Linked DNA regions of Styela clava. The protein of the gene in region 1 binds, or shares a complex with, the protein of each later gene. Links are inferred from orthologs where the notes say so. Each region holds a gene or a part of one and is shown on either strand. Other genes may lie near its edges. The genes, in order: THO complex subunit 2-like, SAP domain-containing ribonucleoprotein-like, THO complex subunit 5 homolog and THO complex subunit 6 homolog.

Evidence for each region.
Region 2: THO complex subunit 2-like (region 1) and SAP domain-containing ribonucleoprotein-like share a complex: the UniProt entries of both Homo sapiens proteins name them as parts of the transcription/export (TREX) complex. The link is inferred for Styela clava from reciprocal best matches to the Homo sapiens genes THOC2 and SARNP.
Region 3: THO complex subunit 2-like (region 1) and THO complex subunit 5 homolog share a complex: the UniProt entries of both Homo sapiens proteins name them as parts of the transcription/export (TREX) complex. The link is inferred for Styela clava from reciprocal best matches to the Homo sapiens genes THOC2 and THOC5.
Region 4: THO complex subunit 2-like (region 1) and THO complex subunit 6 homolog share a complex: the UniProt entries of both Homo sapiens proteins name them as parts of the transcription/export (TREX) complex. The link is inferred for Styela clava from reciprocal best matches to the Homo sapiens genes THOC2 and THOC6.

The regions. Positions count from the first base shown.
Region 1 is NC_135263.1:707,455-715,907, reverse strand, and holds the start of THO complex subunit 2-like, read right to left. Parts: upstream 3,622-8,453; 5' UTR 3,542-3,621; coding exon 3,462-3,541; intron 2,666-3,461; coding exon 2,601-2,665; intron 1,843-2,600; coding exon 1,751-1,842; intron 116-1,750; coding exon 1-115. UniProt on the Homo sapiens protein: Component of the THO subcomplex of the TREX complex which is thought to couple mRNA transcription, processing and nuclear export, and which specifically associates with spliced mRNA and not with unspliced pre-mRNA.
Region 2 is NC_135261.1:12,045,208-12,053,068, forward strand, and holds SAP domain-containing ribonucleoprotein-like, read left to right. Parts: upstream 1-5,060; 5' UTR 5,061-5,120; coding exon 5,121-5,819; 3' UTR 5,820-6,891; downstream 6,892-7,861. Other genes in the region: serine/threonine-protein phosphatase CPPED1-like, read left to right, coding at 7,236-7,281, 7,460-7,549. UniProt on the Homo sapiens protein: Binds both single-stranded and double-stranded DNA with higher affinity for the single-stranded form. Specifically binds to scaffold/matrix attachment region DNA. Also binds single-stranded RNA. Enhances RNA unwinding activity of DDX39A.
Region 3 is NC_135253.1:12,733,003-12,741,704, reverse strand, and holds THO complex subunit 5 homolog, read left to right. Parts: upstream 1-5,600; coding exon 5,601-7,589; 3' UTR 7,590-7,774; downstream 7,775-8,702. Other genes in the region: FHF complex subunit HOOK-interacting protein 1B-like, read left to right, coding at 1-2,940. UniProt on the Homo sapiens protein: Component of the THO subcomplex of the TREX complex which is thought to couple mRNA transcription, processing and nuclear export, and which specifically associates with spliced mRNA and not with unspliced pre-mRNA.
Region 4 is NC_135252.1:9,988,400-9,996,189, forward strand, and holds THO complex subunit 6 homolog, read left to right. Parts: upstream 1-4,784; 5' UTR 4,785-4,942; intron 4,943-5,239; 5' UTR 5,240-5,242; coding exon 5,243-5,770; intron 5,771-5,982; coding exon 5,983-6,435; 3' UTR 6,436-6,551; downstream 6,552-7,790. Other genes in the region: heme transporter hrg1-A-like, read right to left, coding at 7,071-7,204, 7,667-7,790. UniProt on the Homo sapiens protein: Component of the THO subcomplex of the TREX complex which is thought to couple mRNA transcription, processing and nuclear export, and which specifically associates with spliced mRNA and not with unspliced pre-mRNA.

The DNA.
Region 1 (8,453 bases):
TTGCAACCATGACAAGGAATTTATCTCGGACATTTTTTTCCTGCAAAGCCGTTATCTCGATGTCAATCATTGAGAATATATCAACGATAACAGAACAAATTGATGGATGTTTCTCCTGAAAATATAAAGGTTTCATCAGCGAACATAGCTATATTGTATAAGAATGACCGAATCTCTTTCCACAAAATAGTAAGTCTATTTATGAGCTTTCGTTAGATCATAGTCTAACTTGATAGTCTAACAAGTTATGGCTTAATCAAACAGCAATAATATTAACTGCTGTTCAGTAAACAATTCACTAGTACAGTGGTTCCCAATCTTTCTACCCTGGCGGACCGATAAAATTAAATGTACTCACGGACCGGCAAAAAATAGAAACGAGAATATCAGTCGGAGACCGATTAATAACTCACTAATTATACGACATAATTAACCCAAAATCAATAGGTCTGGTCTGAGATATGATGATTGCACATGAAAAGTTTGGAGCAGATTCAACCTCGCGTTCGTGAGATATCGCGTTCATCTAACAGACATACAGATAGACAAATACCTATCAACATACTTACCGATCTTAATAAGATCGATGAGTAATGAACGGAACAGAAAAGAATAACATATATTTGTGTATATATACATATAAAAGGAACACTTAAAAACATATCCCCACGAAGAAAAACTATCAAATAATGTGCCAGACAAAAATTGAAATGTGTGAAACATAAAATAATACCATATATTTGCGTAATGAAATGCAGTACTGGGCACCCATTATGAGTAAAAGGACATCCAGGGCAGCAGGGAACCAATACCCTAGTACACCCCAAAGTACATTCGTAATTAATGAAACCCGAGAAGATTATTTTTTATATCAAGTGGGATCATGAATAAGAAGATTTTCATGTTTGTTTTTGCTACGATAAAACGGGTAAAAAATATAAGTTTAATCATTCCGCGAACTAAGCCTTTAAGAAGTTATTTCTTTAAGATCGTAAAAGTTAATGGAGTCTAATTTTTAAAAATAACAACAGCCTCCCATTCAGTTAGGGGCGTAGCAAGGGTGTGGTTTTGGGGGTTAACCCCCACTCTTTTGAAATGTAAAAAAAAATCATCATTGTGTATCCTATATAGCAATATCTCATAGCTTGGAATGCTTCCTAGACCCTCAAGACCAGGGGTGGGCACGGTTTTGGACAAGGGGCCAAAAATTTTGCCCGATCTCGACTGGCGGGCCATGTAAGTGCGACGTGAATGTTACATTTTATGAAGAATATTTACAGTGTTACAAAAGCAAGAGTGTAAAACAATAAGCCTCGTGCCAAACTAAATTAAATCGTAACCTTAACAAATTCCTTCAGCTATTTTTCTTCTAAAACATCGAAATTTGGTTTTAGTTTGGTTGTGGCAGCATTGGGCGGTCCAGATTGTATTACCTAGCAGGCCGGATTTGACCCTCGGGCCGTACTTTGCCCATGTCTGCTTAAGACTGATGAAAACACTCGTATTCCAGCGTTCGGTCGTCCCCACTAGTCGTTTCGATCTAATTTGGCAAATAAAAATTTCAGAACCCCCCTTCAAAAATTTCTGGCCACGCCCCTGCATTCAGTTACCACGCCCCTGCATTCAGTTACCATTCCACAAGATAACCAATTTCAAACCAAAAAGATTCATTCACAAACAGTAGTTCTTTATATCAGTGGCTTCTTGACCAGAGCTGGGAAAAAGTGTGAAAACAAAACAGAAAACAAACCTTCAGGGCACTGATTAATCCGACCAGCTGTTCGTTCTTGAGACATTTCGCCAAAACTTGACGAACGACTTCGTAAAAGATTCTACGAACATCTGAAAAAATTTGAATAGTTTAAAATATAATTCCCATGAATATCAAGAAGAGAGGAAAGCTGATAAGGTGGCTTAATCAGATGGCGAACCAAAGTCTCTCAGTCAGTTACCAGTCAATGCCAGGTATGAGATTAGTTAGCTATTTATCAGATGCAAAGACTGAGATATTGTTGCGAATAATAATCAACCAGCGGTTGCATGAATTACTCCAACAGTGAATAGTCTTATAATCCTTGACATTCATAGTTGTAGGAAATTTTGCCGCATAGGAAAAATCATCGCATGAAAATCGCCGCATTATGCTGTAAAACAAGTATTTGTGATAGAATCAGTCAGGTATATGAAGTACCTTTTTACTTTAATAAAAAATCTTCCAACCCTACAGCAAATTTTCCGGACATGCATATTTATCCCCCAAAGAATTCAAACATAGGTGACCACATCTGGGGTTAACATACATAACAGGCACAAAGTACAAACTGCTGTTTAGATTTAGTACAGGATTTACATAATTATCCCAGGGGAGAGGAAAGCCGATAGGATGGGTTAATTATATGGCGAACCACGGCCTCTCGTTCTGTTACCATCCCATGTCAAGACGTGATTAGTTAAGTATTTGTTTTGGGGATCATGGGACTTGATGATGGAGGAAGCCGTACCTGACTAGCGGCGAAGTGAACTTTCTTGAGGAGAATGCATAGCGCAGCTCCAAGCCTGATTATTTGGTAAAATTATCATAAATAAAGGCGAAATATCACCTTTTCCTTGAACGACTTCTACTGGTCTTTTCTGGGCTGAGATGAAATGCTCACATTTGCTGATTCTGAAAAAAAAAATAGCAAAGTAATATAGAATTCATATTTATCCTGAAAGTAGAGAAAGCCAATGAGGCAGTCTAATCATAAATGGCCTCGCAATTAACTAACTGTGTTATGTACACTACTCGAGGACAATATAGAGCCAACAAGGAATTCAAAATTGCAAAACTGCACAGAGTTGTTTTAGTTGCCAGAGATGAAATAACAAGAACGCTTCTTATTTTCCCAAAACATTTTTTTCTCTACTGGACTGGCAGAGAAACGCAAGACCTACAGCCTAGGCCCACACCAGTATATCCCACACTAACTGCTTAAATAACGCCTAACAAAAATGTGACTTGAAATTTCAAAGGTAATTAAGAAAAAAAGCCTGTGTGACGCTGGATAAAAATCTTGGAACATATGTTTAGTTCAAATTAAACTCACTAAACTTAAACTAAGCAGGTATATCAGTACCCACGAATAGATAATTTATTTTAAACATGGTATCAAAATATGACAGCACATATGACTAGGCGGTGTGCCACATTGCCCCAAGCAGCTAAGAGAATATGCACTACACCTCTGATAACTCTACAGGTATGTGAGTCCGCATACTCTTGACTATTGGTGCACTTTCTAAAGCTTTTTTAAGATTTTGCCCCTTTTTTCCGATTTTCTGTATATTTGTTTGTTTTGCTGTAACGATAAATACAAACTAAAAAACTTTACGTAAACTTGAAATGACCCAAATGCAGGAATGAGGTTTCAACATGCCATAAACACCAATAAACAAAACTAAACAACTGTAGTACAGCTTACATTTCTGCTTTTCCAGATTTCTCCCATTCTTTAGCAATTTCTTTCGTCACAAACTTGAAATGTTTGTTGTTTTGAATCATGTTTCCAGACAAACCAGCTGGTAAACACACGCAAACGCTGAAACAACTAAGAGCGAAATCCAATGCCGTTTTAGTGAACCGAATTAAGAGTCAAGATTTACGAATCCGGATGTGCTTTCTATTTCAACCGCGTAAGAAGTTGCGAGGGGGATTTTTTTAAACCACGGGGAGCCCAGACAATGATAAAGTTGAAGGAAAAATCTGATATTTGGGATTCTTAGTCCATTTTTGACCATGTTGAGCACACATTTATCTCATTTTGATCTTTGAACTAATTTAACCCTAATTTGAAAATGTGACATATGTGTTAGGATAGGATAGGATTTACATATTTATCCCGGAAGAGGAGAAAGCCGATAAGACGGATTATCCATATGGCGAATCACGGCCTCTCGTCCGGTTACCATTCCAAGTCGCGTATGGGATTAGTTATATTGTTTGTTTTCGGAAGCATGGACTTGGTGGTGGAGGAAGCCGTAACCGACCAGCGGTTACGTGAACCACCCAACGACGGCGAGGAGTCCAGCAATCCTCTCGCACATAACCATCCCTGCATGGGATTCAAACCTGCGAACCCACGCAGAGTAATTAGAGGTGCGGTGGCGAGCGTATTTCTAACGCTTTGCCCGTTGAGCTACACCGCCGCGCTGTTACAATGGACCTTTCCCCGACCTTTAACCCCCAAAAATTCTTTCTATACTTTACCATTGCAAAATTTTCGGGGCTATTTTAGGAGTGGTTTTGCGAGTTGGTGCCTGTAAAATGGGGTATGTGTTTTAAACCATCATTATAATTCATCGCATACAACAATCTGTTTTTTAAAAGTACCGGTAAAGAATTTTAGCATAGTCTATCACAGCTATTTCTACACTAATTTTTGAAACTGCAATTAAATGAAAACTCGTAGGAAGACAGAGTAATCATTGAATTATCTGATTTATATTTAAGTTTCCGAAACACAACTAAACACTAACGAATAAAGTTCAAAAACGCAAAAATGAGGTAATGTTTACGACCACGCTTGAAAATTTGTCTGAGTGAGAAAAGTGTCTGAGCGAATGCGAAAAGAGAGCATTGGCACGTCACTTTTTGCATCTTGCTGATTGGCCAATGTCACGAAGTAAACAAGGAAGTCGATGCCCGGGGAAAGGTCCATGGGATTTACACTGTATACAAATGTGAAAAATTGATGTTGAAGTCTCACATTTTTATTTCAACATTTAACGAACGAACTCAAAAAGCAATATCGGCGAATCATTTGCGCATAAAGCAAGCATGAAATAAAAACTTAAAAAACTGCAGAAACGATTACCTGAGAATAACTCATTGTTCCAATTCCTCAGGCGTGGGAAGTCATAAAACAATTGCGAACTTCGACAAAACAAAGTCTCACTTTACACTTTAAACAGCTGGTATTTATTTGATTGCGTTCACACAATTTGCATCTTCCCCTTTTCTCAATTTTCTTTGGCCAGTGTGCGTATTTGTCTCGGCGGATATCTTCACATGGGGCCTTGGATAATTACCTTGAGAGGCTGCAAATTTCTTCAACTTTAGACGATGGTCTCCCGCGACGGGTGTTAGTATTGACATAGGTCATAGATCAAAGCGCTTGCGACTGCTGCTTGAAAATGTCGCCGTTTCATAAAATATGACGTTGGAAGACGGAGCAGGGGACAATCATGACGGTACCAGAGCCAGGCATTCACAATAGTCACTATTTTATATGCCAAAAGAGATAAAGATACCATCTTTTTTGGTTTCATTCGAAACCTGTACTTTGCAAGAAATGAATCCAATTTATCAATACCTCCCATAAACTTATTATATTCTTGCACGATAGCAGGCATGGGTATGTACACATGCTGTTTAGTTCGTCTGTCCCATCGTCTGATTTGATCAATTGGCTCCACTCCTACGTACGAAGATAGTAGTGACACTGCCCTGTTGTCATACCATCTTACGGCTATGTTATTGTTTTCCCCAACTCTGAAGTCATAATCCCCCCTGACTTTTTCTTTAATTTTTTTTCATCGTCCAGGTTACAGCTGGGTAGACGTTTTTTTCTCACGATCCCAACATAATGCATTCCTCGCTCTGATAATTTTTGAATGAATGGAAAGCTGCTAAGAAGGTTATCAGCAAATATCTTGTAGTTTGCATGGTATGACAATGTTGATGTCAGCTTGAGAAAAACGTCCGCACCTTGTCCTAACTCTGTGCGTTCACCGGTACCACCCTGGTAGAGATCAAAGTCGTATAGAATTCCACTCATATCCCCCTTCCCCAGATCTTAAAACCCCACGGATGAGGCTTACTCTTCAGGTACTGACGTATGGAACTTGTCGTGCCTTTATACTGGCACATCATATCGTCAACAGAGTTGTATTCCTCGGCTGTAACCTGTAAGCATGCATCTTTGAACATTGTTAGCCATGGACAAATCTTCCATAGCTTGTCAGAGTGTTTTTCGTTGTCAGACACAGTCAAATTGTTTACAAAATGCGGAATTCTCAGCAATGTTTGAAAGCGGTTGCGAGACATCACTCCACTCACTGGTTCAAAAAATGTTGAAGTTTCCCAATACATTCTAACACTGTGCATCTGCACTATACCCATGTGCAAATACATTCCTAATATCTGCTCAATTTCCTTTTTGTTTGTTTTGACCAAAATACCATTCTTTTGAACAATGTAGAGATTTGTTTGTTCTGTCAGAAGTTGCAGCATTTCCTCTGTCACAAAACCTCGGCAATAACGCAATGGCGTATCTACAATCATGTCAGCAGGAGGATCCAATTGGGGGCCGGAGAATGTTGCATCAGGTCTGTCGAATTGTTTCTTTCTCCACCGAAACTCATTGCGGTCGGTTGCATTTTCTATTTGGCTTTGTTTTTGATTTTGCACTCCTAGACTCGTCAAAGGAATGTCGTCGTCAGAACTTTCGGACTCGACCTGTAAAATGAAATATCATGAAATGAAAACAAAAAACAATATTATTTATGGTTTCGATCAATGAGTGAGAAAGATATTTGTCAGAAACTATTTTCGGTGTCTGTGAGCGATAATTGATCGTGAGAAGAAACTATGTAATCAATATTTGAAAATATTATGAACCTGGGAGCTGTTGTTTTCGTCTTTTCTGATATCGTATTCACTATCTGACCCACTACTAGTGCCTCCAGCATCATTATCATCACAGTTGAAAATGACAAGAATATCATTAGCATTATACACTCTTGCGATTCTAGTTCCCCGCGAGCTGCTTGACACAATCGATGCCATGTTCTAGAAAAAAGAATAGATATGGTTAGTGGCCTGACCAAGCAAGAAAAAGGAAGTCCAAGGCTATAATGTGAATGCGTGCAATTATTTTGTCAACGGTGTCACATGCAGATTTATTTATTCTAGTTGTATGACTAATCCCGATGTGACACCGGTGATACATCAAATGTAGACCTTCGTATGTCGGGTCAGTATTCACTCTAGATTCTCAATTCATACAACTTAGTAATCTATATCAAGGTAACTAAGAAGCCAACTCACCATTTATTTAACACCAATCGGCGTTCGTCATTTATGATCTGATGTTTCCAGGCTTTTCAGGATCTTGTCAAGAATCCCACCTAACCGGCCGATCGGTGCACGAAAGCTGTGCTGTTGAGTAACATTGGGCCTTAGGGGTTCTATGATCTATGACGTCGAAGTGTGCTTGGAAACATTTTATTTCTACAGGTTTCAAAAGATCGTGTAACAGGGGTGTTACGTGGGATTCCCTATTGAGAGATTTTGTTTATTTTTTTAAAGCATAGTAACACTCATTAATAAATAGGATTTTCTCATTTATCCCAGAGAAAGGAAAACCGATAATGCGGTTTAAAGAGTTAATTCTATAGCAAAGTACGGTCTCTCTTCCGGTTACCGGTCCATGTCGAGCATGGGAGATGGGATTAGCCGCAAACTAGGGCGACTTCATCGCAAAATGTGATGATGGCGTTTGGTTGCGATGAGGATGTCATATCTTTAAAACAAAATAATTTAGACGAAAAATTCGAGTTCAAAGCATTCCGTCTCAGATCTTGAAGGGATTTGTGTTGCCAAGGCAAGTAGACCCAACGCCTTTCTCAGATATCCGGTTTTCATTCGCTTCTCTAATAACTGACTTACTGGTTCAGAACAAGAACAAAAAAAACCAACAACTGATCGAATCAATGTTTATTATCATGTTTGGTTATATACAGAAATCACATGGAGACAGCTATGAATTTATTAACTGAATATATAAACTGAACGCGTTTCAATAGACAAGGCGACCAATTCAAGACATGGGTTATACGGTTAATAATAAAATAATAGTATAGAAACAATATATAAGTAAGCAGTGGCAGGATTCAAGAGGCTCTTGCAAACCGTTCCTGTTTTTTTATGATTTAGTTCAGTATGTTTCTCTAAAATGAGAGAACCCGTTGTTAGCGAGTTCGGTGCAATAGAGAACCCGTTCTTAGTTTTTTGAATTCTGCCACTGAAAGTGAGTAATAATAAGTAAAAAGCAAGTTTCATTTATAATAGGACGAACATACTTGTATGGCCTTTGTCTAATTCTAATCACAGGCCAACTTCAGTGTGGAATAATAATGCATAAGTAAAAATATCAGTAATTTAACTTTTATAAACACGTAATTTAGTCTCCTCTCATAAATAAAATCACGTTTTAAAGGTTTTAATGCTTGGAAAACAGTCTTTGTAAAAATATGCGATTTAGTGAAATTGAAGAGTAATTTAAGATCGGATCGTTCATGGGCAGCTTATAAATTTTGCATAATCAGACATGGACCTATCATAATTTGAACATTTAGAACAACGGCCATAGAAAAGCGAACAAAAATTTTAATGAAATCTATATAGATAACAA
Region 2 (7,861 bases), on another chromosome or scaffold:
TTTATAACATTGAGATAATGAATAATTGTATTGTACAATTAAATAATTGCTGAACGCCATTCGTATTGGGCCAGATCCGCTTCATAATGTGCCTTTCGAACAGGGATACACATTCTGTGGAACGCAGAAAATCATCCCGCAGCGTAGACGGAGTTATAGAGAGATGCAGTCAGGCAAAACCGCTAGAAAGAAGTCTGAAGAACTGAGGTGAACCACGGCCTCTCGCTCGGGTATCATTTCATGTCGGGTACGGGACTAGTTAGTTATTTGTTTTCGGGAGCATGGACTTGATGGTGGCTGGTCGGTTACGTGAACCACCCTACGTCGGCGAGAAGTCGAGCAATCCTCTCGCACATAACCATCCCTGCATGGGATTCGAATCTGCAAACCCACGCAGACTAATCAGAGGTGCGATGGCGAGCGTATTCCTGACGAGTAGCACCATGAGCCGCCTTGCCGAAAGGAAAAAGTGAAACGATAAAAATGACTACAAAAGTACAAGGCCGCAGCCAAAAACAAGAGACAAACGAAAAAAAATAGGGTCGCAGCCAAAACAAGTGAGAGAGGAAGTCAAAAAAAAAATTTGAGCCAAAAACAAGGGAGAAAAAAAGAAAACAATAGGGTCGGAGCCGAAATAAGAGGGGGCGGAAGACTAAGTCAAAACAGAAATTGACGAGCATGGAGGGAAAATTGCACCAGCGAGCCAACGTTGATATTTTTTAGTTGGTCAACAGCGGGAAAAGTGCGGCCTCGTAGCACGAGAGAAAGATATTTCATTTTCACAACACAATGTTAAATAGAATGGAATAATGCTGATTTTTATAGTAATACAGTACATTGAACAACTTAAACATTTAATTGTGTAGGACTTTTGTGGGTCATAGAGGCTCTTGACCATTTTGTTTACACTGTGATCATAGGGTAACTTTTTTTTATGTATCCTGGCAAATCCAGGTGTCGCATAAGGGGGTGACTGAAATATCTGGCTGATCTTTGATTCGTGGAAAACTATTCGAAAACGCGCAACTCTCAGTGTGTCTTCCAATGCCACAAATATCAATAATGTTGTACAAAATAATTTGATATATTGCAATAAAATCTAGACAAACAGTTCGCGATATTTGGATGAGGTTTTCACAAGGTGTAGTGTGAAGTTAATGAAGTGTAGTATAGCGATGCGAAGATAGCGAAGCGATTTTCTGATTTTAAATAAAAATATTCGAATACAGATCATGTAAAACAATAATGTATTGGAGCTCTTGCAAGCTTAAATTGTTAATCAAAGTAATTATTATTCAGACAATAATAATGTTGATCACAAATTAATATCGAACCAACACATCCAGACATCACTACTGAGGCAAATATCAACAGAACCAGTGATGTAGAATACCAAATTACAATCTTACCAAAACGTTTTGTGCCAGGCAATAACAAATTAAACTTTAAAACAGCGTTTCCCAACCTCTTTTTGGTCGCGGACTTATTCCTCATTAGCGAAAACCTTTGCGGACTCAAGGTGCATTTCTTGCAACCGTACTCTGTGTGAAGAAGCAATAAAACCAAATACAACGGAATTTTAACGAATTTCATAATCGGAAATTTGCCGCAATTGAGCGTTCGTTAAAATGGCCGAATTTTTTAAAGAAGTAATGCCTTAGCCATTAAAGAACACGTCGTCACCATTTTAGCCAATAAAAACACGTTTTGACGTTGTAGATGAGTTTAAGGTTGTGGACAGACACGGAGAGCAAACGATGAAGACAACATTAGAACATCGAGAGACGAGACGACACTTATCAAGACGACTCCTAATACCAGACCTTTCAACACATTCCTTTCTTCAATACCTTACTCCCAAATATCCAATTGAAACCTTTCTATGAATTTTAACTAAAATAACGAATTTATCCCTAAAATGCTTTCATCTTTTCGTAAGTGGACGCAACCGCGAGTTACCATGAACACGATTGAATTAAAATAGAAAGACATTTTAAATTCTCGTAGTTGTCATGGATTGGATATTGTGCGACAGAAAAGGCCATTATACATTAAAATTCCACGGCAATCTGCGAATATACTAATGTGAGAATATGTTACCCGATTATATTTAGTTTTGATACATAATTTTTGCGATCTTGTGAATTCGACAAATCTGAAACAAAACTTACGGCGCTCCAGTACTGTAGCCTACATACCAATGTGGAGGCAGTAAAGCAAAGTATCCTAAGGGAAAATGCCCTTGTACGTATACTATGGTGGCACCGGAAATTTTGCGATTTGCAATGTAAAAAAGTGTTTTCAATCGGTTGCGGACTACCATAAAACAAAACTTATGGTGTTCTCCGTGTTATCTATAGTAGTTTGTATTGCCGCTTTTCAATTTAGAAAATTTGGGTTGCCACCATTGACACCTACCAGAAAAAAAATTATTTCTGGTTGTTCGCACTCGCGAGAAACACTACTTACGTATCTATCGACGCGCGTGCCGACTGGTGTTTTCGTAGAAAATTAGCAATTGTTTGGTTAGGCGACGCGCAGGTGACCTGTCACGCCACCTGTTGCCGAATTTTCGAATAGAAAATTGCTATTCTAATAGTTGAATATTCGAATATATATATGCCAAGCCCTACTCAGTAACCAGAAATTATTGACTGGATTAAGTGATATGAATAAACTTATTTTTTTATGTTTTATGTAAATTCTAACATAAATCATAACTTGGCTGATAGTTAGGTCTCGCAAAAACGTTTGCGGCCCGCAGTGAATTTCTGGCCCGTTGTGGACTCATTCAAACGCTCCGCGGACTCATTTGAGACCGCGGACTCGGGTTGGGAAACACTGCTTTAAAATATACAGAAACAACGTCAATTTCGGTTCAGGAATCAATCAGATTATAGTCTATTTCTAGCTTACTTAAAATTCCACAATAAAAGTTACAGCAGTTATATGTACCAATAACATAAGCCTGTAGAACGGGCAATTAATTATCCCTACAACTGGACGTAAACCTAACTAATATAACACATAAAACTGCTAGACTTGCGAACAATAACCAACAACTACCGCCAAAACAGGGCAGTGAGACTACAGCGTTGTCAGATCCCAGTGATCGGAAAAAGACAAATCAAGACGAAAAAAGCTAACAATTCTACTAAGTACAAAAGCCCTATGATTTGTCTGATTTGATGCCCTTAGCACAATAATGGGTTTGCAATAGGCTGACGTAGAGCCATCAGGTCATTTGGTGAGCCACATAAATGTCTTTTCCCATTGAAAGTTGTATTTTCGGTTGCTATCATGGCGATTTCCACTTCGGCGGGATGTGGGGTTTAAGAATAAAAAAGATTATTTAAATGGCAGCACCAGAATCTACATTCGACACAATACAATTAAGCTGACATCTGTATGAAAATTGGATTGGATTGTGACAATATAAAATTGTAAAAAGCAAGAAATAGTGTCAGCGACGTCATACAAAAAGTCAATCTTTACTTGAATTATGGGAATTTATTTATTACAGGTGTGATACGTGTGCAAATCGAGCAAGTGTCTTAGGTACCCGTAATGAATTTAATTTAAATGCAATTAAAGAGGCTCATGACTGTAGTAAATGTCATAGCAACTGAAAATGGGACGTCATATTACGCGTATCAAATTGCTAGCGCTATTTAAAACATGAAACATATTTTACCTAAATCTTGGGCTTCGGGGGCGTCTTTATTCTAGCTTGACTGCAACTGTCTGATACCAGTAGTATATATTAATCTCCAACCTTCATTGTCACCAAGAAGGGCAATCAAATCCCGAGGCAAATGAAAATCAAACTCAGAACTCAAACCGTCTTATGCCACCTCGTGGTCTGAAAAGTCTGTGGGTCGTTTAGCATCGACTGATTGAGCACTTACCTCAGTGTGTCGCTGGTTTGGTGAATACATCATTCCCGTGATATTTTTGTTTTTACAATCTTATGCAATATGCTGAGATGTAGATTGCCTAAGTTAATACAGTGTGAGTGGGGAATAATATATAGAAAATCCATTCCCAGATAGTCTTATTGAAGTTTATTATTTTTGAATTTGCAATGTCAATCTGATTAATTCAAGCTACCGTATTTTCTGAAATTATAAAATGTTTATTGATGTACAAGGGAATTTGATTTCGACCCTAGATCTAAATTGCAGACTAGTTCAACAACTAGGCTAAGTCTGTAAGCTGAGCTAGCCTTCTCAGACAGTCAGACCTTGTTATTTTCCAATGAACTGCCCACAGCTCTGGACAGGTTGACAGCAGTACTTCTGTACTTAGGATCATTATAAGATAATATTTACATATTCATTTCACTATATTTACGTCAATAAATTCATGCCAAATTTGGAATAAATTACAGTGATATGATTGATTTCATGGCACATGCATATAATTTTTTCATCAATCGAATTATTTATCTGTTTTAATTGCATTAAATGCTGTGACCAATCACTATGCCACTAAGTACTGAAATATATAACTTCGAATGGTGATTATTTGTGTCACGCAACATAGATGGAAAAGTTTGTGCATGAAGATGAAAAAATTTCCAGATGTTCAAGCCACAGATCCATGTCGCAAGGATAATGATAACTAATTTACTAACTAACTATAATAATTACAATAGAGTATATAACTAACTAATTTATTAATTACAATAGAATAAAGTATGAACGTGGTAAAGTGGAATAACGGCTGATATTTTCGTTTTACTTTTAACAGTTTATTGTACCGGACTCTTGATGTTAAATAACACGATAAAACTCATAGTTGACATTATACTATTTTGTTTTTTTTTCTGGAAAAATCTCACAACGCGGGCCGCAAAAAATGCTTTGCGGGTCGCGTGTTGGAGACCCCTGCTCTAAAATCTGAAAATATCGATTCGACATCTTTCATTTAATAAATTGTTTTCCATAAATTCATTAAATGGAACTCACTTGCAATTGATTGTTTGCAGCAATGCTGGTTATGTTATTTATATTTACCCAGTACAGCAGTATTATCTGAATAATGACCTTTGGATAATGACCATTGCTTTCATTTGCAGTATCATTTCAACTACCGTAAGCAATAAAACTATAATAAAAATGGCATCAGAAGATGAAGTTGTGATTGATCTCAGTAAAATGAGAATTCCTGAGTTAAAGAAGGAATTACAGTTGAGAGGGTTGAAGACTGGAGGCAATAAACACGACCTAATTGAACGACTTCAACAATACTTGGAGGAACATGAAGGTGCAGAGGTTGCGGATGATGAGATATTAAAAGAGGATGAAGAAGAATCATTAATAGATGATCAAAAACTAGAGGATTCTGTTTTATCAGCTCCTCTTGAACAAACTAAAGAAAAAGTGCCGAATGACACTGAGAGCGTTGAAACTGAAAATGACAAAAAGATAGAGGAAGAAGAGGATTCATTAACTGAAAATATTAAAGACTTGCATTCTCCAACTGGCTTATCTGATGCTGATAAACTGAAAATTCGTGCACAAAAATTTGGTGTCACCGTATCTGACATGAACGCTGACGCAAGAAAAGCTGCACGATCCGAAAGATTCGGAACAGGTAAAGGGATAGGTACTACACCTGGTGCGGACCCTGATAAACTCAAAAAACGGGCCGAAAGGTTTGGGGGTGCCGTCTCCAGTACCTTAAGTACTAATGAAGAAGATGAAAAACGGAGGAAACGACAAGCTAGGTTTGGTATTGAAACATCTGGTACAATAACAGGTGAAGATGTTGATAAAAAGAAAAAGAGGGCTGAAAGGTTCGGGCTGACTGTTTGAAGCAGAGTTACCTTATTACCTCATTCCATGCATGTGCATTGTTGATAGGCCCCTTTGATCGTATGTGTGATACACACCTAGGTATCCTAATTTCATCTGCATACAAGTTCAAATTGGTTTAAGACAATCTGTGTTTTATTAATGTTGTATTGTTCTCACTAGTGAGAACCATATTAGTTGAATTTAAATTGAATTTGAGTTCTCTGATGTCCACTACCGCTGCTTAGTCTACTCAATCATAGCAACTTTTGAACTGTTCTGTTGGGTGATGGTTTTTGTAACTTTGGCCTTGGCCTTGGAAAAAGTATTGGTATGCATCATGGTCCTCTGTTGCATTGTAGTTGTACAATTTACAATAGGCATATTTAATGGTACCAATTTTACTGTTTTATTAAATGACACACAAACAGGGTGATTATACTAGTAGTCGCTAGCAGTTATTTTGACATTACAACCTCGATGTTACATTCTATACTTAGTATTGAAAATTATATAACAGAATTCGATTTATAACATGGTATTGTTGCACTATATCACATTTCTTATATCTATAAATTCTTTAAATACTGATTATGACTCGAGCATAATAAATTTGTATATGGTAAATGGAAAATGAAGCTATTTCCCTAACGTATCCAAAAACTGGTGTCCATTCTTGATCACCTACTTGGGGCATCAAGATGACAATTCTCTAGATGGAAATATTCTGAAATAAAGAATACTTTGTTGTAAATTATAACTAATTTTACATCAGCTTGAATTTTCATTTTTCTTCAAACATATCTGCATTCAAATCTCGATCCGCATTTTTTCTGGGCGTTGTACAGTCCTATTCCTAAAATTTAGATTATTATACAGTTTATTATATCATTTGCAATCCATGGAAATAATTCTGTATACTTGGCTGCTTGATTGTTACGTCACTAGTCTTGAAAATATTGGTCAAATTATTTTGGAATTTCATTTTCAATCCAATGTGTTTTTATCTTGATATATTGAATATCGCCACCGAACTTTACATCAAACTTTGAAATTCATGATTAATTTCTTTGTTGTTACCATTTTGTCTAGATTTAATAATAATATAGCGGCTACTCAATAATAACTATGATGGGAGAAATAAACTGAAAATTGGAGAACCTATATTATAGCGAGAGTGGTATCAAGTCACAGGAGATGACTAGACTAAATATGAGCACATTACTAAAAAATAAATGTGGTGTAGGGGCTGGGGCCATAAATGTGGTATTCTGAAATTCACTCAATGTTTTGCTTATGAGTAATTTATTCTGTCTGAATCTTTAACTTATTGAAAAAATTAGTTATCCAATAAGACTTAACACCAAATATTGTAATAAATTGTACTGGCAAAACTGTACTAAACTAAATTAGTAAACTGATTGTATCAAATGAAGAATGCTGATAAAGGCTGTAAATCGTCAGATACCTGGGTACACGAAAGGTGAGATTTTACAATCATTTTTTTCAATAATATGTAAGCTATTTTAAGTGATTGAATATTGTTTTATTGCTATTTGACCATTGAAGCTTTTTTGGTATTCATACAAAACATTTAAGGTTTAAACTTTGCTAATCTATAGTATATTGGCAGTTTGCTATTGTTATGTGCAATTTTCCAGGTAGCGAAGATTCATGGTGTGGATCATATACGTTCATACATGGATCAGATCCACAGTTTGGATTTATAGATCTCATTAAAGGTGGAGGAGGTAATGTTTTCAATAATTCTTTTTTTTTTCTTAATTTTCTTTTTGGATAAGGTTGTATGGGTCAATACATTAGCTGATGTAATTTGCCAGTTGTTTTACTTTCCCGTCTCTATGCATATTCTAGAATATGAATTCTGACGTGACCTCTTCAACGAATTTATTTGGGTATACAATGCTTTCTATGTCTCTTCTTTTGATAAATTAAAAATTAATCGATATAAGAAATAAAAGGCTTGCCTCTGCTAGTGTTGTTGTACCATAGAAGATAGAACCATATGCTTATTTCTGAATGTGCCATAGTATACAACTTAC
Region 3 (8,702 bases), on another chromosome or scaffold:
ATCAAAGTTTATGAAGTTTTGATCAGTCAAGCTCAACATTCGTTGCTCCATCACAGACAATTAATAACACCAATGTTGAAATTATTATCGTCTTGTTCTGAAATGAATTCGGAAGAAGTTGACAGCCATGTTGTTTTGTTGCTGAATCTACTGTGTGTTTGGATTAGTCGTGACCCTACTTTGTTGGAAGTATTTTTTGGTTCATCTGATGATCAAGGAGCAACTAATTTTCTAATTTTTAGCCTTTTAATCGGATTCATTCATAGAGAGGGAAGTATCGGACAGCAAGCGAGAGATGCACTGTTGCTTTGTATCACTATGTCATGTGAGAATGAACGTATTGCAGAATACATTGTCAAAACTGACTTTTGTCCAGTATTGGCTACTGGATTAAGTGGTTTGTATTCAAGTTTGCCTCGTCAAATTGATGTCCGGGCAGATGAATGGCATTTTCTAAGGAAACAGGACTGGAGTCAAGTCCCAGCGCTTGTGAATTTCATGAACTCTTTTGAATTTTGTAATTCTGTTATTGAGGTTTCTTGTGGTGTTGTAAGTGAAAATTTACTAAACTACATATACAATGGTTTTTTAGTCTCTGTTTTTGGACCTGCATTACACAAACCGTCAGCGAGTGAAGTAATTGTTACAACTGCGTATCTCAATCTATTTCTGCAATCTGTGACGGCCCCAGAACTTTTACAATGCTTTCTCAAGTTCTTACTGTGCCACAGGCATGATAATTCACTCATCATCAATACATTGATACAAAGAATTGGGAGCAACAGTAGGCTGGCTGCGGTTTCGTTGTCACTCTTTCGAACGTTGCTAGATTTGGATTGTGAAGATTTGATGCTGCATTTAGTGTTTCGATATTTGATACCATGTCAGCACATACTCGCCAGTCAACATCGCTCAATATGTGATGTAGATATGTACAGTGCATCTGCTCATAGATTTATAAATCTTGCTCCATTATGTTTTAATTTACAAAGCGATAAAACATCTTTGAATAATGAGTTAAGTGAATCACCTTCAGTTATTAACAAATCTGTTAAAGATGTCGCTGTGACAGACGCTGATTCCAAAGAACGCTCAAATTCTCAGGTATCCGCAGGATCAAATAACAGCAATCATAGTGACCAATCAGAAATGATTACGAGCCCCACAACAATGGCAGAGTTTGGCCCGGATCATGACTCTCAAATGTTATTGCATACAAGCTATATGGATTATTTGGAAAGTGCTAATTCTGCTATTGCCTCATGTAAAGAAGCTTGTAAGAATTGGTCGGAGCCTTATAATGGAAAGAATCCTTCTACAGATTCTGTTACAGAAGTGAAGGGTTTAACTGGCAGTATGTCTGCTGGACTTTTGCATGATAAAGCACTGAGTCTCCTGTCTATTAATGATAAAGAAAATCACAAAACACATGCTGAATCTGATCCCTTCCCAATGCAATATCAAAAACTTCAGGGAGCTGAACGAAGCCCAGCATTACATGCCTTAAATGCTACATACCAAGCACTAAATGCAACAGCGCAAGTTCTTAACATTAAAAGGTTGTCAACATTACCAATGAATGGGAACGCTGAAGAGTTGAATCAGGAGATAAATTCTCTGCCCGAAGAACATAAAGAACAAATCACTGATCCAGATCAAAATAATTCTGTTGACGTTTTCAAAGAAGAATCTGATATACCTGAAAAAATTAGGGTTGAAAACGGGTTTTCAGTGAAGGATGATGCTGAAAAAGTATTGGGGAATGGTGTCGAAAATTCAGGCAATGTGAGTGAACAAACCAATGACGAAAAAAATGAGTCTGCTATATCTGATGAAGCAACAGCTAATTCATCATTTGATAATTATGATCCAGATAACAAGGAGAAAGATAACAAACCATCGAATGCTCAGACTTCTTCTGTGGATGAATTTTTCAGGAGGTTAATGGATAGTGTACCAAAAAATGCAAGAGATCGAATTGAAGGAAAAGTGTCATCACCCACTGAAGATACTGGAATTGAATTCCCCATTGAAGATGATTCATTTGCAGAAAGACTGAATAGTACAGCGAGTAATGAACCTGATGGCACTCACCGTCAGGCTAGCGTAAATTCGGAGGATTCCAGTTATGAAAAAAGTTTGGAAGATCATGATGAAAATTGGGAAGATGATAGCATGTCGATTAACTCTTCGTTTTATGAACCAGATTTAGAATACACACCTGCGGAATTTTCTGTCGCTCCCTTAGTGCCACGTCTAAAAATGCATGCCATGCCTTATACAGGTCCGTTTCTAAGTACTTTGTTCGGAAAGTTGGATCAAATGCCGAGCAATTCGCTTTACGAAAACCTTCTGTTGACTGGGATCATATCGAGACTATCTATATATCCTCAACCTCTGATTCGATCTTTTCTTCTAAATACTTATGTCGTTTTTCATCCTGCAGTAAGGTCATTATATCAAGTTCTTACTGGAGTGAAAAATCGTATAGAATCGTATGCCGCAAATGTGGAAAATTTTGATGCGTTGTTGTGCCGGGCAGAAAAATACCTTCTTGCTAGAGGAAATGAAGCAGTTGACACCATTGAACAAAACTTAGTTCAAGATACACCCATGCCGGTACCGAGAGTGAAAACAAGAAATACTGCTCTTGGGGAAGTGTTTTTAAGAAGAAAGCGAAGAAAACCATTGACCCAGAAAGGCTCAAAACTAGATACATTGGTCGAAAAACAAGGAAGGTCATTACAACTGACACAAAAAACAGGATTTGAGGGACAATCCATGTTTTATGCAGTTTCTAACACAAAATTTTTCTCCGCATTAGATAAGCAAAATAATGACACACGAACTAAAAATGTTGTGTTTGCATGTGTGATTCTGCATGAATTTTTAAAGGAATTGGCAGCCATATCTCAAGAACATGCCGTTACATGTGCCTGAAATATGATTACTTGAAAATTTAACTTTTAATAAACATCATGTTGCACTTTATAATATTATAATAAAATAAAAATTCATACTCATAATATTTGCAAATGTTTTATAACTGAATGAAAATATTCATAATTTCTTTACTATCTTTATTGGTACGTTTGTCGGTACGTTGGTTTTAGCACTTTTTTTGGAAATGTTGCTAATATTCGACAAGTCAACAAATTTTTTTCCGTTATATCGTCAAATAATTTTTTGTAGCAATTTATTTGCCAAGTATATTTTGCCTTATTTATATTATGCTAGGGTTTATTGTACAGTAAATTCTTATTAATCTATAAGCATAATACAATACCTAATCTGTCTGATATTGCTGTATATTCTGAGTTGGAAAGTAGAAGAAAAACTAGTAATAGGCCGTATCGTATAAAAGATTTTTTCAATCATTGGTTGACTGAATGATGCGATAAAAATTAAATCAATTATAATACTTGCCTGTTTTTTTAATCCAAGTTGAAATGATATAGCTCATTATCATTTACAAAACTATGTCAAGAGCTTGTCACTTGAGTGCTAAATCTACTTATTGTATTGGAAGATTAAGAACTTGTGTATACTCTCAATATTTTTCAAGTGAGTAAAAAACATCTTATTTAAGACTATAAATTCAAGGTTAATTCCCTCTTCATTTTTTTTAGTCTAGTAATCCAAAAGTGTTGTTGATTTAAAAAAAAAATTATGGTCCTAAATAACACCACATTTTAGTGTATTGAACAGAATGGAAATAGGTTATGTTTCCTTGACTCAGATGGATGCTTTCCTGTTCGTTTTCCAATTCTTTATATATTTTTGATTTTTGCAAATAATGCAATATTGAGAAAATTCGTGAGTCAATATCACTTCTATTTATAAGTTCTATTAGATGACATTCACTGGCTTTTCAAACATACCATATGTAACTTTGGTAGAACTCTAACTTTGAATGATAGGAATGTTTGTGCAAATCAAATCATTACTATTTGAACTATTTGGTGCTTTTTATAATATCTTAATAAGTATTCTTCAATTTCTTATTTGTGAAAATGGCCTATACATATATGGCAAAAAGGCAATATTCCCCCACATTCTTTCTCTGGATAGGTTGGCTATTTATTGGTTTGAGTTAGAACATCGTGGTTAAAACATGGCGAGGCTATGAACGTACAGTGTGAATAACTGAAACAATCATTCAAGGACACCAAGTACTGGTATTACTATATTTGCATATTGTGGTTATTGGCACTTTGTTGTTCATTTATTTAAAAATCCTCATTTTGAATGTGATCCTCTAAAGACAATCAAGAAATCTTTCCTTATACTTTTACACACTTTGCTCAAATGAAAATCAAGCTAGTAGAACTACTGCTGCCATAACCCCAAAATATATTGATCTTATATTCTAAAACAGCAAGAATTTTTAAATAATTTAAACAAATATTTGAGCTTTAAATTGAGTGGCTTATCACATTTTATGAGTGACTTTTCTCCTCTAAAATCTGAATAAATAATGAAGCATGTATATTTTTTTGAATTAGCTTTGATTATCATTGTGTTAATAAGGTATTATTTACTTGTTTCATTTAAACCTAGTAAACCGACACAATGCCAAGATTTGTTACCAGTTTGTACGGGTTCCTTTACATTATAAATTTGAGTTTGATTTTTTTGATTCAAATTCAATATAGATGAAGTGCCTTAAAATTTCAGATTTATATTTTTTGATTAAAATTATATTGTTGTTCTTATTATTTTTGCTTGACGATATTACATCATTTCATCCATCACATTATACGTTTTTATAACAAGATCGCAGGAAAGGATAATGAAACTAGAATATCAAGACTTTTTCTATGAGTCGGTGGTTAATGAGTCACAATTATTGTTATGAACGATAAATTGTATTGTGCCAAAAGGCATTTGTAAATCTTAGTCATGGAAATTTTTCTGTTTTATCCGACATTTAGTTATTTCTCATCCCCATCATTAATTTCCTGGTAATTGGTGATGTAACTCTGGACATTCAGATTTTTACAAGTTTTGAACTGTATTCCTAAGCTCACCATGATGTTATAATCTTAGTTTTTGCAAATGTCTTCGTAATAATGAATGCATGCTTGTGAAAAATGTATATTTTCTTATGTCATCTCAGGTACCATATTGAATTCTTGAAAGTTCTGTTATGTGTCTGATAGGAAAATTAAAAAAAAAAGGATCATAAACTGTAACCACACAGACACAGATATAATATATTGCTCACATATACCGTAATTATTCAGTTTTAGAGTGGTTATGTAGGTTTGAAGTTATTATAAGCGCATGCTAGAACTTTTCAAAATATGTACCAATTATTCTAAAGCACAGATTATAAATTGATGTATTGTACAGAACATGGTTATAGTATGTTTACGTCATCTCCTATTTTTTGTGTTTTCTTGCTGTTGTACCAGCATTCATTTACCGTTATATTATAGGCAAATATATAACCACTCTTGCCTGACAGATGAATTTATTTAGTTGTTGAGTTTTCATTTCAATGTTTTTTCAAATGTATATCATGCAAATCTTTTATGTTATCTTTTTATTTTGTGTGTACGATATACTAGTATTTAGAATAATAATTTGAGAAAAACATGGCGAGCTATAACGAAGCATCTGAAGTACACGCTGAAGATTCCCTCCATGATCTCAATATGTTTTCATCAATCACAAAGGAAATACAGACAATCATGCAACAAATTTCACATCTCAAGTCGAAAACGCCTGACAAAGGGAAAGAGGAAATCAACGAACTACGTCTCACTGGTTCACTCCATTTTATGACGCTGAAAAAACTCAATCGACTTGCACAAATTAGATGTAAAAATGCCAAAGATTCCACGCTGGAAGCGAAGCAAAAATTAGATGCAAATAATCTACGTTTGCAGAATTTGCAATATGAAATAAGCCATCTTGACAGGGAGGTTAATAATTGTTTACAATTCAAGTCAAAACATGAAGATATTGATTTGGTTTCAGTCAATGAGTTTTATACTGAAGCGCCTCCGACAATATCCAAAGAAAATGAGACCAGAACAGATAATCATTTACAAACTCTAGCACGACTGGATTGGGAATTGGAAAATCGCAAAACATTGAAAGAGGAACTAACACAAGCACATGAAAAGAAAGACAAAATATGCGAAGGAATAAAGAAACGCAAACAAGATTTAGACAGCTTAAAACCAAATTTGGAAACGATCTTAAAAAGCACAATGCCATTGCAGGAAGCACTAGGTGATCATTTTACTGAAACAAGGGCACTTTATGACACAGCATATCTTCTTCCTCAGCCTTTGTACGTGCTATTTGTGCAAGCGAAAGCATTCTCCGACGCATGTGACAGAAACATGGATGTACAGATCGGAGGGGATGTCAATGTTGCAAAAAGATTGAAAGATCTGGAAACAAGAAAAGTTGTTGATGCAACTAATTTATATAAGAATCGATATGAAGATGATAGCGATTCTGAAAATGAGGATGATCAGGAAAATAAGAGAGGAAGAAGGAAGAGTACATCTACAAAAGCAGCATCGAGTGAAGTGATGAACATTGACAGTTCAATCTCCAAACATCCGCTCTTTGTTTCGCTCAAAATTTACCTCGAATCGAAGACTGCAAATTCTTCCTATTTGTTGATGAGATTTTACAGCTATGATTCTGAGTTTGTTACTGTTATTCCATCCCTAGAATTGTGTAGCTCATTGAATGAAATCAAGAAATCTCGTGTCATAGCTGCATCGTCCCTTCTGAATGATCTTCAACTAGTTGATAATGGTACATCCATACCTCATAAAGCAACAGGTACTGGAAAACACAGTACTGGAATTTCATTCTCAGAAAATGAGTTTGGTTATGTCTGGGCGCAAAAGTTAGCAGGTTTGGTTGCATTGCAGGATGGTGAAGTAATAAGTAGACAATCCGGTTTTTCTACAATGCATCTTATCATAAAGCTAATTAGGAAACGGATAGAATCTCGTCTCTCACTAGCAAATCAACTCAATGATTATTCAAACAACGTTGTAACATGTGATCCAAGTTTCCGAGAAAATTTTGCACCTGTTGTTCTGTTCAAGCTATCTTCATGGAAGTGCATCGATTTTCATGATTATTCTCAAATGGAATTTACTTCTGCAGCAAGAGAGCTTGATTTAGTGTCGAAAAATGATTACTTCTACTGCGGAACTTTGCAAAGAGGTTCGAGTGCGAATGTAGAGGTAGCAGTTGCTGTGTCCGACAAATATCCAACGAAATGGCCACTGTTCAGAATCCAAGTCTGTTGGCATGGCAACCACACAGCCGAAAATAACCTCAATGTGAGAGAGATAGAAGTTGAAGTGAACTGCAAAATGCCACAGATCGTCATGAAATCCAGAAAGAAATTGCAGAACGAGTTATTGTCAGTGCAGTTATACAGGCTGTTAACTCTGCTTGATATATATGTTGAAACGGACTGCAACATGGACGGTAGCGACATGCCATCTGAATTTCCAACCAGTAAACTATGTCCACGGATGTCAAAAGGAAGGGCACGCCTGAAACCTTTCAAATACAATGCGAGACACAAATTTCAATGCTACTGAGTCATTATGAAGAACCATGTTTAATCAGTCCTTCTGTTCATATAAAAATAGAAGTCCTTCGAGAGTTGGCATTTTTGAATGTTGTAATAATTTTTTACTGAATGTCAGTGCATATAAAATCATATTACTGCCAAATTGTGATGTTTGAATGAATGTGTATGCCAAATACAACTAGTTTCTTTTCATCATGGCCGTCCTTCAATTATTGCTTCATTAGAGCAGTGGGTAGATGATTTTGTTGCAGTTATTTGGAAAAAGTTGAGACCAGGGCTGGGGAGCTGGAGCAAAGCTTACCAACATAGATAAAGCCAGAGCTACCAGAAATTTTAATGTCTCATGCTCCTAACCAGTGTTCCCTCTAAGGTGTGCGCGCGCACACAGCTTTCAGAGACTGCGCACACGCATAGATTTACTGCGCACAGACGTATTTCGATGTAATGTAACAATGTGCTCGGTTGGCAGGTTGAGAAAGTTTGTTGTTGGCCCACTTATTACCCGGTTAGAACGCCAAAATTTCTTTATTGGTTTCTGCACAAATAATAGTCATTTCCAAAAAAGTGTGCACACACCAAAATTTCTGCGCACACATACTACAAAAAATTAGAGGGAACATTGCTCCTAACCATCCAATTATGTAACATTTATGATTTTCTAGTACTCCATACAAATGTTAAAACAAATTCAATTTTCAAATTCTAATAGTTCTGAGTCTCGCTTCCATAAAAATGCATTTGGGGCTGATGTTTAATGGCAGATAAGCAGTGGTTACCTAAAAACCGCAATGGGTATGAAGATTCACTATGATTTGGAACTAGCTACACAGCCCTGGTCGAGGCATGCAATAACATCCCTTTACTACAAACAAGTTTTGTGATGTTAGATCGGGACCATAATACGATTGAATGGATTGGTTGATGATAACCTTTTCAAGACTACGCCCAATTGAGGGTTTGCAGTTATCATTGGATAAACCATTCCTCCCTCAACATGCATGGAAAGGGCTTTATTTATTCTTTGATGGATCATCAGCTAGTGTTACGCGCGAGTTGCACTCCCGCTTTTTGTACAGTTTGGGTAGTAATACTGGCAATACCTCACAGCTAATACAAAGCT
Region 4 (7,790 bases), on another chromosome or scaffold:
TTTATTATAAAAATTCTGATGTAAGTATCGTTACTTGCATAAAACTTATTTTAACAAACTGACAATACAAACTACACTACAGAAACTTGCAACTATTTGTAGCCTACATAATATTGAAATCTGCGTATCGCAAATTTTCAACAGGGTGTAGATTGCCTAAATATATTGAAAAAATATACTACATGCAATGAATGCAGAATAACGGTATATATCATAGTTACAAGAACATATAATAATATAGAGTGTATGAAATAATATATTATCTATTTGACTCTGTATTCGTGCTGCAGTTTTACTAGCGTACTGTTTTTCAATTTTCCTTTGTCACCTCTTTTGCGTGAATATTCAACCAAAATTTTAAAAGCGGCATAGTGGCCAGATGAGAAATTATATTTCGAGCAGTCGACTTTATCTGTCAGAAAAGTAACCGGCGACCATATATTATGAAAGGCATTAATACGATTTCTCTTTGGATGGGTGGCACAAATATTGGGTAAAACTATCGTTTTTTAAATTTTTATCATGTGTGGCCAAAAAAGAGTTAGTTACGATTATGGGCGTTCATCGGGATTGACACTTTCCATAGAAACAAGCGCATCTCTGCAGATTCCACAGTCTCGTTTTTTCACTTCTTTGAGCACAGCCTAACCTGTTAAATAATCGCAACTTTCACGAACCCACACGATACCAGTATTGTTCCACTAGCGGTCGGAGACTTACGACCTATCGATCTTCCGCATGTTCCCTTCACTCTGACTTAATAGCGACACCACGTGTTCCATCACTAATTAAATAATACGACATAATCCATCCAAAACCAATAGGCTTTTGGTCCGAGATATGATGAATGCTCATACAATATTTGGAGCAGATTCAATCTCGCTTTCGTAAGATATCGCGTAACATACGGAAGTGTCTAATAGACAAACGAAAATATCGGTCAGAGACCGAAGACTAATCGATCGAAAGTTAGCGTATCCCCCAAAACAAAAACTGCGGTTTCGATCCATCCGTTATGACTCCATAGCGACACCGTGTGTCCCATCACTAATTAATTTATAACTCGCTAATTATACGACATATTTCATCCAAAATCGATAGGCTTCTGGTCCGAGATATAATGAATGCACAAAATTTGGAGCAGATTCAACCTTGCTCGTGAGATATCGCGTAACATATTAAAGTGTCTAACAGATAGACAAACAAACAAATACCTATCAACATACTTACCGATCGAGATCGATAAATAACAAACAGACAAATACCTATCAACATACTTACCAATCGAGATCGATAAGTAATAACTAGGGCTGGGAATGGTTAACCGGTTAACCGATTTCATATGGTTAACGGTTATGATTTATTTTAACCGTTAACTGACATCTCAGGTACAAATCATCTTTATACCGTACAATTTCGTCAAATATGATTACATCATCGCAAATTCATCTTTTGCGGCGTTTAATTCAAAAAAATATTACTAACTGTGTGGGTAAGGAATCAATAAATGTGAAAAATAATGGAAGCACCAAGGTTGCTAATAATGAAAATTTACAATGATGAATTCAGAATCAGTTTTCAGAAATATATTGTTCACGATTTCATTGCAAAATCGGATATTCAATGTCATACAATAAGTGTACAGTTGATGCCGTTTTTCTTTATGATATATATCTCGAAGTAGAATTTGCACATAGAACACTCAAAATTTGTCGGGTTTTCTAAAATATTTCCACATGCCCGAACGACGCTGCCTATATTTTGCAGCATAGGAATCATGAAACTATCTCGATTCGTGAATAATTTTGAGTGATGGCGGGATAAGAACACGTGAAATTGTTTTATAACCATTGTGACGTAACAAACTGAAATTAGAATTATGACGTCAAACATCACGCGGCGGTTAACCGGTTAATTTTACCCGGTTAACGGTCAAAGTGTTTCCCTAAAATTCCCAGCCCTAGTAATAACACATCTTCAGACAAATTGGGGAACGAAACCTGATCAGCGGACTGACGAAGCTAAATCAAACAGAGGCTGCCGCGTTTCGCCGGACACAAAACGGCGTCGGATATGCATCATTGCACTCATTGTTAGCAATTGGGTTATAATAGTCAGTGGTGAGATTCAACAGGTTCGCACCGATTCGTTGTAACATACTTTTGTAACAGAACCGACTGAAAAATATGGCTTTTGTGATGGAACCGGCTGACAAAAAAAAATTGAATCCCACCACTGGTATGTATGTATGTTTGTTTGTCTCGTAAAAGTAACAAACGCATATATAGATTATCATTACTGAAGACGGGATGTATGCACAAGACCATACTGGCCTAAAACACGAACGTGGAGCATGCACCCCGTTTGAAAATTTTTAAAAAGTAGTAAATCGAATACATATAATATGGTCTCTTATACAGACAGTTGTGCAAGAAGTGTGGGTGGGTGTGGTAATAGAGGTAAGGGTGGAGTATACAAAACTGTTTGTACAGGAGTGTTTGTGAGAAAAGACAACATCTATAAATACGACATAACACCACACAAAATGAACTAAATAAATAATACTAAATTTAGAATTTGGACAAAAATACACCCTTGATTGACGGTATCATGGTCATGTTTAAACAAGAGTTAGTGTTCAATATCATGTATATGGTATGGACTACTCAAGTGTGATCGTGACTTTAGTAGACTATGGCTATTCTAGCAAAAAGTTTTGGTGAAATGGGATAAAAATATGTATCAACTTATCTCTATATTTTCTAATCATAAATATAATCAGCAAAGATCTGGATTTATAACAAAGCATTTCCCCAAACTTGTGGTGGTTTCACTTTTGGCAGAACGTTAAAGAGGTTTAGAAGTGCAATGCAAATGAGAATATTAATATATAAATGAATATATATGGTTATAGTCACATTGGTCTAGTCCACCTCTCCATGCATCCATCCAACTTGGCAATTCTGATTGGGCAATTTGGCATATAAGTGACTCCAACTATAATCAACTTCAAATGATAATACCTTTCTATCTAAAGTCTGTACTCTTCAAACCTTACTTGAGGTTTTGTTTGCTTTCCGATTCTATAATCAGTGCTATTTATTTTGTTTTTATCAATCATTTTATCGTCTATTATATTGATTATGGAGTCGAAAAAAATGATAAAAGAATAAGTATAAAGAATTTGAACCAGTTTATAAGCGCTAACTCACGAAAGCACTCTCAAAACAAGAGAGCTATGCTCAAATATGTGGAGACGCAGCGCCACCTAGTGGCAAATGTCGATGACGTCATGGCACACATAAAAAACGAATCCCATGCAGTTCACCGGGATATTTGAAAAATAAAAGTAATACCCTTCTAGCGAAAAATTTAATCTTTGAGTACTGAAAATTCCAAAGCGATTGGTCCGGTAATCAAGAAGAAGAAAAAGAGTACCAGCATAAAATGCAAAACGATCGTTATGAGAGAGAGAGAAAGAATTTATTGCTTTTGTCAAACCAGAAAAACAAAACGATCATAATATATATTCACAAAATAAGAATTCAGAGTTTTCGGTTTATGACTGGGAGAAAACGATACGACCGATAAGGTCATCAGAGTCTGTCCACTAACGTGTCCAATAACAAACAAATTTTGCAGGGGCAGGTACTGTATATGAAGATTTTTTCTGGAAGATTTTTTTTATATATGAGGGCTACTTGTATATTTGCAAAAACTGCCTTTTATTTGTCAGGCTGATTTATTGCTGCTCCCAATAATTTCATCGTTTACCTATTTTAATATTGGGTTTAAGTTTTTAATATGCCACAGTTGTTGTCTTGTTTGAAAGGCTTACTAATAATAGTTATTCAACCTAAATTGCATTTATATATATGACTATTGATCGTATGTTTACCAAAATTGTTTCTTAATTGGGGTATATAATAATTTTTCAGTCACCCATTTGCCAAAAATCTTTCTTGTTGCTTATCGATTTTAATCGGTAAGTATGTTGATGGCTATTTGTCTGTCTGTCTGTTAGATGCACGCGATATCTCACGAAAACGAGATTGAATCTGCTCCAGATTTCTCATGTGCATTCATCATATCTCGGACCAGAACCCTATTGATTTTGGGCGAATTATGTCGTATAATTGGCGAGTTAATAATTAAATAGTGATGGGACACAAGGTGTCACTATGGAGAGCGCTTTTTTGGGGGATCCCCTAACTTTTGATCGATAGTCCTCCGTCTCTGACCGATATTCTCGTTGTAAGGTTGATTCCTCTCTTGAAACAATTGTTTTACATGAGTACCATGTTGTTTATCTCCTATTTATTCGTACATGTAAGGCTGGTTCCTTGCTGATTCGAATAATTGTTATGTGTCCAAATTTACATTTGAGTATAGTAGTCCAATAGCCAAAATTGTTTTTTATTTGTGGGGCTCACTACTCACTTTCAAATAATAGTGTAATAGTTGAAAATTTGCCCAAACTGTTTCATTTCACAAATCTCATCATTTAAAAATTGATTTCACAGGGAAAAAAATTAATTACTTTTATTTACTTCATTTTTATGTTTGTTTTTTTCAAATTTTGTGTCGTGAACTTCAACCATTTTTAATAGCCATATTTTACTGTGAATTTATCAGCGTAAACTTGGAGGGGGCTGACTTCGATGACCGCATGGTCGTTGTCGTATCGCTCCTTCCAGTCTATACCGAAAAAAGCGTACTTTTTTTATAGCCATTATTTATTTGTTATTATGACTGTTTTTTTTTCTGGTTGACTAAATAAATCTCTCTCTCTATCTCTCTGGAGTCGAGGGTGACAGTTATGGAATGAAGCATGGGGATAAATGTCGTGTCTTGGCGTATCCCGCAAGATGGTGCGCAAGATTCGCGGGGAAACTTGATAATTTCAGGATATGAACAAGCCGGGCATGTGGAGAGAATTTAGGTAATTTTCACTCGGAAAGAAGGCGGTGCCGGTACAGAAGACGTATACGGACATGCGATATATATATAAGTTATGAGGAACTAAGGTCTTAACATTAGGCAGTATACTAGTGATACCGGTAATATTCACAATTTGCCCCCGCATGAGCTCATGTCTGCATGTGCCTTACTGCTGTAGTCTACCTTACTGACTCTTCTTCTAATGCTGTAATGTGTCATGCAGTGATCCAATTTGTTGATATACAATTCATATTACAATAAACTTAATTTACCTACTTATTTATATTCGTTTCTTCAGACTATGGATTCAAGACACTTGCTGTGTACAACTGTGTATTCCACTGTATTTTCTCCTTGTGGGAAGTTTGTTGCTGCAGCAAATAATTTTGGACATATATCTCTGTTTAATTTTGAGAAAGCAGTCACACTCAATTCTCTTAAGTGGCAAAAATCAATTATTACATTCAAAGCCCATGATGGCCCAATACATTCACTGGTGTCCACGAAAGACTGCCTCTTAAGTGGAGGAGTTGGGCCAGTGGCAGCTTGGAAATGGAATGATATATTAGAAAGGAAACCGGCAAAAGTTTATACTCTGCATGAACCATCACAAGGAGATGAAGGATCATTTTCTTCAAATGACGTAAATGTTCTTGCTTGCGACGAGACAAAGCTATATGCTGGAAGAGATGACAATGTAGTGTGTATATGGGACTTTAATTCTGGAAAATGTGAACGGATGCTTATTGGACATACAGAATATATTCATGATATTGCAATTATTTCTCCTAATGGCCTTGTTTCTGCATCAGAAGATGGTAGTGTTAAGGTATGCACTTAATAGTAATGTCTGTATATCATGGCATGCATATCATGATTTTTCATTAAAATTCAGGTTATCTATTTTTACCAATTTATGATTTTGAGTCGATAAGTATCTTGAACAAAAGCGACAGTAAGCCATTAAATCAGCCTCACCCTTGACAACATAACCCTTACTACAGCACTATTCCTTTTAAACTTAAACAATGATTGTTTCAGGTTTGGGACCTTCGTATGGCACAGGCGACAACTACAATTGAGCCGCATCAAAACAAAGAGCTAAGTCGGCCACAATATGGAAAATGGATAAGCTCCGTTGCTACAGATGATAATGGGCAGTGGATGGTTTGTGGAGGAGGACCGAAACTATCACTCTGGCATTTGCGATCTCAAAGTCAAACTGCTGTATTGGATTGCCCTGAGTTCACACCATATACAACAGTGTTCCATGAAAACTTCATAGTTTCTGGTGGAAATACAAACTCTGTACACCACTGGTATACCAATGGTGATGAAAAGGCTTCAATTCCTTGTGGCATTGGAACAGTCTTCTCTCTAACGTTCAATAAAAAGAAAAACACAGACAGTGCACCATTGATTGCCGCAGGAACCAGCCACAAACTGGATGTATTTTGTAACCCAAGTTATAGATCACACACATTAAATCTATGATATGCAGATACCTGCATTGCACATTTATTATAAATTTTCACAACGAGTACGTCAGCTTCATTGGCTACAACGATATACATAGGATGCAAACAATAAAAAATGATTGACTGGTAAAATGCCTACTGCAAATCTAAACTGGCTCAATACAGCTTCAGATTGATTAACACTTGACACCAGTCAGTTAGAAGCAACTAAGAATTTCACAGTGGCAACAACCTGATAATAATCATGCGCAAATCAGCTTATTGGCAATCAATGGATTGACAGTTAGTTGAGATTCAGTACTTAACGAGAGGTATACAATAATATTGGATAGCGAAAGTAATAGCAATTATTCTTGAAGGTTTTGTTTATAAGTAAAGCCACCAGAGGAAAAAATATTATATAGAAATCGTGAGTGATTTGCAACTCACTTAGTCCTGTGGCGATGCATCATAATATTAATACTTGATAAATCAATAAACACAATTAACAAAAAGTAAATGAAGTAAATATTATATCGAAATTGTAAGTGAATGATTTGCAATTCTCATTAAGTCATGTTACAAAATGGCAATGTATTATATAATAGTACTTGATATACCAATAAACACAATTTACAATAAGACGATCAAAACGAATGGTCTAATCCCAATTTAAAATTCCAATAAAGCTGTAAGGTCTGAGAATTCATTTCTGTATGATCGTGAATAAAGTAGAAGAAGAAATGCCCACTTGAATGTTATGAAACACCACACACATGATATATAGAAACTCCCAACAGTAACTCCTGTGAAATAAAAGTATTCGATGTTCAATTCATTACTAAAAAATAAATGTTGCATGCTGCTCGCTCGCTCTGAGTTTTTATGCGGCTCTTTTCGCCAGCAATAATTATATATTGTCCAAATTTAACCAAGGGAAACTGTAGCGTAACAGTTTTTTTTTAATTCATTAAGCAGTTGAAAAAGTTTTCATCAATGATTACGACAAATAATGTTTTAGTATGAAAATTGTAGCGTGTAATTTAAGTCAACAACAAATCTCACATCCCAATGATCAAATGTTTGTTGCTGCGTTGGCGGTTTTAACTACTTCTGATATCGCCTTGCAATTATATAATTTGCAATATTATTATTAAAAGTTGGGGTAAAGTTTTTTTCAGTTCACGGTATTCCAATATTATTAATTTTAAAGATTATGCGGCTCCCACATATTTCTCATTCATTTGCAGACTTATCGCTTCGCTTACCTATTCCAGCTTTTATTCCCAGTACCAGATAAGTTATGAATCCAGCAATAGCAATGATAGAGAATAAAGCACCACAAGCCATGAAATAACGTAGACCTCTAAGCCATGTTCTCCAATAATCTTG